2 linked regions of the Daphnia pulex genome follow. The main gene of each other region encodes a partner of the protein of the gene in region 2 in a complex. Links are inferred from orthologs where the notes say so. Each region holds a gene or a part of one and is shown on either strand. Other genes may lie near its edges. The genes, in order: general transcription factor IIH subunit 5-like and general transcription factor IIH subunit 2-like.

Region 1 (3,058 bases), about 4.3 Mb from region 2:
GGATTTGGAGATGCTATTGATAATACAGATTGGTAATGAAAAAAAATCACTTTTTAAGGCCCATTTTTGATTTAATTTTAAATTGTCTTAATTTTGTTTAGCTTCAGATCAATAATTCAGTATATTGATGACCAATTTGAGCGTTTCCTGCGCGATGAGAGTGGGTTAAACCGCCGTAACATAGTCGATAACCGGGTCCATTGCTGTTTCTACTTCATTTCTCCATATGGACATGGGTATGATAGATTCCACTCGTGATTCAACTAGATTTCACAGAATGTATTGGCTAATCTTTTCCTAAATAGGCTTAAACCCCTTGATACGCAATTTATGAAAATGCTGCATCACAAAGTCAACATCGTGCCTGTAATCGCTAAAGCAGATATGCTAACAAAGAAAGAAATTGCTCGGTTGAAGAAAAGGGTAAAATTGTGACCAACATTTAGATTTATTATAAACTTGTTTAACTAAAAAATTATTAGGTCATGGAAGAAATTGAGGCAAACGGAATTCGTATTTACCCACTTCCCGATTGCGATTCGGATGAAGACGAAGACTACAAAGAGCAAGTTCGTCAGCTTAAAGACGCAGTGTATGTAATAATTCATTCAGACTAATAACAATTATAATTCATTCATAATAATAATAATAATATAATTCATTTATTCAGACCTTTTGCTGTATGTGGGGCCAATACGTTGATTGAAGTTAAGGGCCGAAAGGTCCGCGGACGGCAGTATCCATGGGGTGTCGTTGAAGTTGAAAATCCTGAACACTGCGATTTCATTAAACTCCGAACGATGCTGATGTAACTTGTTTGACTCGTCAAAGATCGAAAATCTTGCATTGCACTAACGTTTAATTCTTTCATTATTTAGTCAACAGCTACAAGATTTACAGGAAGTAACACAAGATGTTCACTATGAGAACTACCGATCAGAACGTCTTGCTAAAGGTGTAGCTTCGAATCGAAAAACCGCTGGGCCAACTAATTCCACCGCGCCATCGGCTGCTCCGGAGCAGATTAGTGAGAAAGAAAAAATACTTCAGGTTAGTAACTATTGTGTTATTAATAGACAATGGAAATAGTGTTTCGACCGTTTGCATCATTGTTTTGTTCTCACAGGAAAAAGAGGCGGAGCTACGACGTATGCAACAGATGTTGGCTCAAATGCAAGCACAAATGCAACAACAACAACCTCAATAGCACTGTGCGTCGTCTTTAACAGCAATTTTCAGTTGTCACTTAAACCAAAAGGAATTCTTCTCTACTGTTTTGACTGTTTATTCAGCTTTGATTGCTGTTTCAACACCCTTGGCACTCTTACCTTCCAATGTGAAGATCTTAGGTTTCCTCGATAAAATCCCATTCAAGTGCCAACATTTAACAAATTCGCTGTGCTTCATTATTTGGTCACTTCACTAGTAATTTTCCTCATTTGCGTACATTCGAATTTTTCTTCCATGTAGGGCAATTAAAGCCCAGATGCGCCTCGAATATCCTACCCAATCATTTTCTTTTTAGTGTCTCGGACTCTCGGTACTGGTCGCAGTATTTCAATATACAATTTTTTCAGACTCTTGCTTCCTTTTTCCCATTAAAAGATTTAATTTTTCTTAGTTTTCTTGAAGTGAAACCAAACCTTTATGAATGGAAGTCTTGTAAATTTTTATATAATGCGCCAACAAACTCCTTTCCCGCTCAATTTAAGACGCCACCTACCGACGCCAATCAAAAGCTGGAAGTGCTGAAAGAAGATGCCAAAAATCCAAAATGGTGATCAGACGATCAGTTACTTACTTACTTTTTACCAATGGGGCAAGATGGTAAACGTAACTAAAGGAATTCTGGTAATAATTTACGGTAAAACTTATAAATGCCACTTGATTTATTATATCTTTGTATTTGAAGTATGGTATTTTAACTTACTTCAATCACTAGTGAAATTGACTGTGCTGGTAAAAGTTTCTTGTCAGAAAGAAAGCACAAAATATTCGATCGGACTATCCCGTGGAAATAGTCATAGATTTAGAAATTAATAAGTATCTCAGGTGGCAACTTATAATGGTTTACCTTTTCTTTACATGGTGCTTAATTGTTAAATTTATACTTGAATTTGTATTATTACCCAAAGGTTGAATGTGATGCTGCTATGAAACAATTGCTTCTTCATTTAGACGAGACACATGCTCTAGGCAACAAATTCATAGTTCAAGATTTGGATGAAACTCACGTTTTCATTGTAAAATTTAAAAAATACTTCTATTTTCTCATATTTTGTATTTTTATCTTTTTGACATTTTCTCTGTTAGGCACCTGAATATCTGGAAGTTTTGCAGTCTAGAATTGATGATTTGATGGACAGGATCAGTTTTCCTTTGGCAGAAAGAGAAATCGAGTAAATTATCTATCATCATGAATTCATCTCAGAGAGAGTCAGCCCGTCAGAAGGATGCCAATTCCAGAAGGGTTTTGGATGAGGCAGCTCGTAGGAGAAGAGCAAGGAAAGCATTGGAAGCACTTGAGCAAGATAATTTTCATGATGACCCTCATGCCAATTTAGGTATTTTTGTAAGTTGGCTAGTTTTCAGATCTTTCATTAATTCTGGATATTTATGCAGTACTAAGCAAAAAGATCCCCAAGTTTGAAGAGTCTCTTGATGGTAAACAAACAAGAAGAAGGAAATCTAAAAATTTCGAAATTTTCAAACAACGGTATTTTGTTTAATATTAATTGCTGAAACGAAGTGTAATTCTATTGAAGTAATTTCTCCTCTTTTACAGGTTTCGAAAATCCTTTGCACAGCTGTTGGAGGAAGAACAGGTTAATCGCCCAGAGCCCCCAAATTATGTTTCAGCTCAAGTTCCACCATCTAAGTTTCCCGAACGTCATTTTTGTGCTGTTTGTGGATTTACTTGTAGTTACACCTGTTTATCTTGTGGCGCAAGGTACTGTAGCGTCAAATGCTTAGGTACTCATCAAGACACGCGTTGCTTGAAGTGGACCGCCTAATAATATTCCATTGCTTTCTTACTTGTCATCTCATCAATAAACCC
Region 2 (4,405 bases):
TGAACAAATCCCGTTTCAATTATAATCATTAAAAAAATATGTTGTACAGATTTTACAAGCTATGGGAAAATCTTATCATCCTGGATGCTTCCGTTGCTGCGTTTGCAACGAATGCTTGGACGGGGTTCCATTCACTATCGACGTTGATCATAAAATCTACTGTGTGACCGACTACCACAGGTAAAATAAGTATTCCATCTCTTTTTTGCACCTAGATCTGTTGTACCACATTACCTGCACCACTCCGTTGCGTGTTTCTTTGGTACATGGTTTTTATTTTGAGTCAAAACTCTTACGTGCTGGGCCATTTTTTGCCTGCCTGATTGGAGGAATATTTACTTCCTAAGAGCCTGCTTAATTCTCTCTTTTTTGAACACTTTTCTTGTATCATCGTTGTCTTGCTGGGTGAAGGATGTTTGCACCGAGATGCGCAGCTTGCGATGAAATTATCACGCCTGCTCAGGTGAGAGATCTATTTGGTTCCAGGGCCCTTGACAAATTTGAATTTTGCTCATAAAAGAAAGGGATACGACATTCTTTTTTCTATGCACTTATAGGGTAGCAAAGAGACGGTACGCGTTGTGTCTATGAACAAGGATTTTCACGTTGATTGCTATGTTTGCGAGGTTTGACATTCAACAAATAAGGTCTTCTTTTCAACGCAATTTTTAAATGTTTCTTTTGCTATTAGAGTTGTGGATTACAGTTAACGGATGAGCCAGAGCGGCGATGTTATCCTTTGTACGGCCGCCTATTTTGTCGCAGCTGTCGACTTATGCAAGACACTTGAAAATTATGCAGCACACGAATACGCCAAAACCAAAATGTTTTTTTTTTACTCTTCGGTTTTCTTTCCTATTATTACGTGCGATATAAGCTTTTACATTTTGACGAAAACTTTTTAGGTTTAATTTTCAAAAACTATCCTACAAGACGTTATTTGACTTTTTTTTTGTGTGTACCTTATTCAAACTAACGTGACTAATGTCCCTAATAGATTGGCTCTGTTTTCATTGCAAATGTACACTGCACAAATACTCGGATTACACCATTAAATTTTTAGTTAATACCAACCGAACGTTATGTACATTTGTGGAGTTCAACTTCTGAATGAATGAAACAATTTTATTCAGTTAGTTTTCATTTGAGCTGTGATTGGATCACTAGCACATCCAGGGCATGTGTGCAATGTTTCTCGTATGAATAGGTCGCAGTCAAGACATACAATCTGTTTGCAGTTTTCACACTCGTAAACCTTAAAAAAATAAATAAATAACAGATGTAAGAAAATCGTCGAAGAACCAATAATCATTCTTACATTGGGATCCAATTCACCAAAAGGCTTGGCGCACGCAAAGCAATGCGTCATCTCGGGAACTTCTGTTCGTTCTATAAATGGTTTGATGGGAAAGAGATGGTGATAAGAACGGGCAAGATGAGGGGCAGAAACCAGAGTCAATCCGCATTGTTTGCACTCAACTGGAAGCTCACAATAACGACTTCCACATTGCGGACAGTTATAGCCACTGTTGTTGCCCATTAAACATGATGTTTCGTTTTCAATATGGCTGTAAAGCAAACAGAAAGTGATGAAACACTTGAATATACGCCAATATCGCCAATAATTTACCAAAGACAATAAGCTGGGGCGTGATCTGCAGCAGAATCTGAAGCTCCGTCGCCTGAACCAGTTTTACCTCCAGGAAAACCCATTTTCACCAGTGAGGCCTCCATAGAACCTAAATTTCAAAGCTACACTGTACCGCGTTCCAATAGTAACAATTCCAAAGAAACAATTACCTGCTACAGCCGGTGGTTGCACTTGATTTAGAATGAGTTCCTTCAGATGATGATCGTCGAGAAGAACATTGTAAGTGCCACCAGTTCTTTTGGCAATTTCTCGGCAAATCCTTACTTCTGCCGCCAGCCCGATGATTGAAACCCGAATGTTATTCTCCTTCAAAGACTTGATCGTTTTTTTTATGTCACCCGGATCGCAAGTAGTCAAGCTGCCAAATAACACCAACACTTCTCTACTAGAGTGGGCAGGCATGTTTTTCAGACCATTCATAGCCCTTTCTAATGAGTTTTGAAGTGATGGCTCCCCTTCACACGAAGTATCCTTCATTTGTTGTAATGCCTAGGAATGTTTAAAATTATATTTTGATTTCTTGATGATAAACTTAAGATTTACCTCAATATGCTTTTTCTGGTTTCCGGCTAGGGCTGTAACAAGTTCACTGCGTTTCACTTTGGTTGTTAATATTCCTAACTGACTTATCGGGTTAAGGTCAAAGAATTCATGAACAAACAATTCTAATAACTTTAAAACACAGAGGAAGCGAGTAGGTTTCAAATCCTGCAAAAACATGCATTCTGAAGCATCTATAACAACAAAGAGATGCCTCATCATTCCAAGTTGGATCGCACCGGTGGCTTTCAGGGCAGCTCTTTTCCTTTTGGCTCGGGCTACTATTTCAGCCACATTTGATTCCAATAAACCATCATCATCTTCTTTAATAGCTTCCCTAGATTTCATTCAATAAGTGAATTTAGTCTCATGGTTATACTTCATATCACTAAGTACTTACCATGTTTTTTCATATCCCGACTCCCAGCGATACTCATTGGTTTCTTCTTCATCTGCCATTTTGGTAAAATAAGCGTGGTTTTTGCGTTTTAAACAGTTATAAATATTCAATTGATGACACCAATTGTTCTTGGCTTCTTGCGACTCACGAGAACCTTATTTTCGAACATATTTTTCCTATTCGAAAATGTCTTCTGCTTGTGTTTCTTTACAGGGATGCCAGATTCCAGATCCAGATTTCACTCAACCACGAGAATTCAAACTAAAAAAAATACATGATAATTTCAAATAAATAAAAAGAAATAGAAAAAAAACTGTGAAAAATTTATGATGACATCATATTTAAATAATGACTCATGGGCTATATCACAGAAAATTTGTCATCCTTCCTTTGAAATTTGAATCGTTTCCTGTGTTTATCACGTGACTTTTTTAACAAATCGTAGGGAGAATTCGCAAGTCTCCGCCCCGATTGCCTCATGTTACATTTTTCCAATTTTCGCTGAACGGAAATTGGAATGTAGCAAGCAAATTGTGATGACAAATCTGAAAAGTGTGCTGTAAACTTACTCTCTATACAGAATTCATTTTGTTTAACGGCTGTGATAATGATAGTAGCTCACGTGAAGCACAAGTATTGATACGAAAATCGAAAAGCATTCGTAATCAGCAACAGGTGTATTTATCTTTTCGTTGGGTGGAAGTGCGTCATTACGTAAAGCTGCATGAGATAGTGTTGCAAGTATTTTGCTGAAGGTAAAGTATGTAAAAGCTTTGTAAAGATACTGAATTGTTCTTAATTATTTCTAACTTCAGTGTGAAAGTTGTAGAATGTCTGTCCCAGACCAACTGAAAACTAAGAGAAGAGCCAGAGTCAATCGAATGAGGAGATGGGATCAAATTGATGACAAGTATAAATCTGAAATTTTCTCTTCTCTTATTATGATTTCCTCCACAAAAAAGTTTGATAATATTGTTTTCTAATTAAATTTTCAAATTAGGATGTGGAATAAGTGGGAGAAAGTATTCAAAGAAAAATTTAAGAATTTCAAAGATTCCTGGACACTTGCTGTAACAAATGATTGTCCATCTACACATGAATGGGAACACTCATTAGAAGAAAAGTTAAGCATGGCATGCAAGTGCAAGGTAAAAGTTGTTGAATGAAATGTTAATAGTGAATGTGATTTTTTAACATGACTTTTTAATAGGACTGTAACCATGTATGGGTTACAGACAATGGTATTGTTTGTTTCTACTATGCATTTAATAAGCAGTCCAACACTGGAGAAATTGCAGGAAAAACCCTTATTGTTTGGGTGAAGCCTCAATTATGCCCCAATAAGGAAAAATGTGGCTCTTCCAATGTAAGGCAAATCTCTGTCTGAAGTTACTTATTGAAAAAATTGTGCAACTAAACAATTTCTTTCTTTATTTATTTTAATTCAAAGCTGCCAATGATAGATGTGTACCAGGATGAAGTGGAGGCTGTGCTGAGCTATCTTATGATGGAGATTGGTTGGTATTTTTACCAAATTAATTACTCAAAGGATGAAGAAAATCAAATTGAAAGCCAACGGAAACTGCGCGAGAGAAAAGCAAAAGAGAAAAAAAATCCACAAGTGAAGAAAGGATCGTCGAAATTAAACGGTGATATCCCATCATTGGATCAGATCCCTCCATTCAAGGAAAATGTGAGTGGTGGTTTACAAATTGCGAAACCTAACGAATCGAAACCACCCGTCGACATGAGACGCATCACAAAATTGAAAAATCGATGGGATAAATCTCCAGAACAGTAGGATATTTTAAGCC

Evidence for each region.
Region 1: general transcription factor IIH subunit 2-like (region 2) and general transcription factor IIH subunit 5-like share a complex: the UniProt entries of both Caenorhabditis elegans proteins name them as parts of the 7-subunit TFIIH core complex. The link is inferred for Daphnia pulex from reciprocal best matches to the Caenorhabditis elegans genes gtf-2H2C and gtf-2H5.

The regions. Positions count from the first base shown.
Region 1 is NC_060021.1:7,407,502-7,410,559, forward strand, and holds general transcription factor IIH subunit 5-like, read left to right. Parts: upstream 1-1,749; 5' UTR 1,750-1,758; coding exon 1,759-1,851; intron 1,852-2,135; coding exon 2,136-2,243; intron 2,244-2,313; coding exon 2,314-2,403; 3' UTR 2,404-2,431; downstream 2,432-3,058. Other genes in the region: septin-1-like, read left to right, coding at 1-32, 102-236, 306-423, 483-592, 671-808, 879-1,050, 2,432-2,564, 2,623-2,716 and 1 more. UniProt on the Caenorhabditis elegans protein: Component of the general transcription and DNA repair factor IIH (TFIIH) core complex, which is involved in general and transcription-coupled nucleotide excision repair (NER) of damaged DNA and in RNA transcription by RNA polymerase II.
Region 2 is NC_060021.1:11,747,483-11,751,887, reverse strand, and holds the start of general transcription factor IIH subunit 2-like, read right to left. Parts: upstream 2,808-4,405; 5' UTR 2,651-2,807; coding exon 2,592-2,650; intron 2,529-2,591; coding exon 2,195-2,528; intron 2,141-2,194; coding exon 1,801-2,140; intron 1,740-1,800; coding exon 1,631-1,739; intron 1,569-1,630; coding exon 1,319-1,568; intron 1,256-1,318; coding exon 1,130-1,255; 3' UTR 791-1,129; coding exon of another isoform or gene 692-790; 3' UTR 627-691; coding exon of another isoform or gene 558-626; 3' UTR 464-557; coding exon of another isoform or gene 412-463; 3' UTR 181-411; coding exon of another isoform or gene 50-180; 3' UTR 1-49. Other genes in the region: LIM domain-containing protein jub-like, read left to right, coding at 50-180, 412-463, 558-626, 692-790; uncharacterized protein LOC124193377, read left to right, coding at 3,422-3,501, 3,592-3,739, 3,802-3,957, 4,042-4,388. UniProt on the Caenorhabditis elegans protein: Component of the general transcription and DNA repair factor IIH (TFIIH) core complex, which is involved in general and transcription-coupled nucleotide excision repair (NER) of damaged DNA and, when complexed to CAK, in RNA transcription by RNA polymerase II.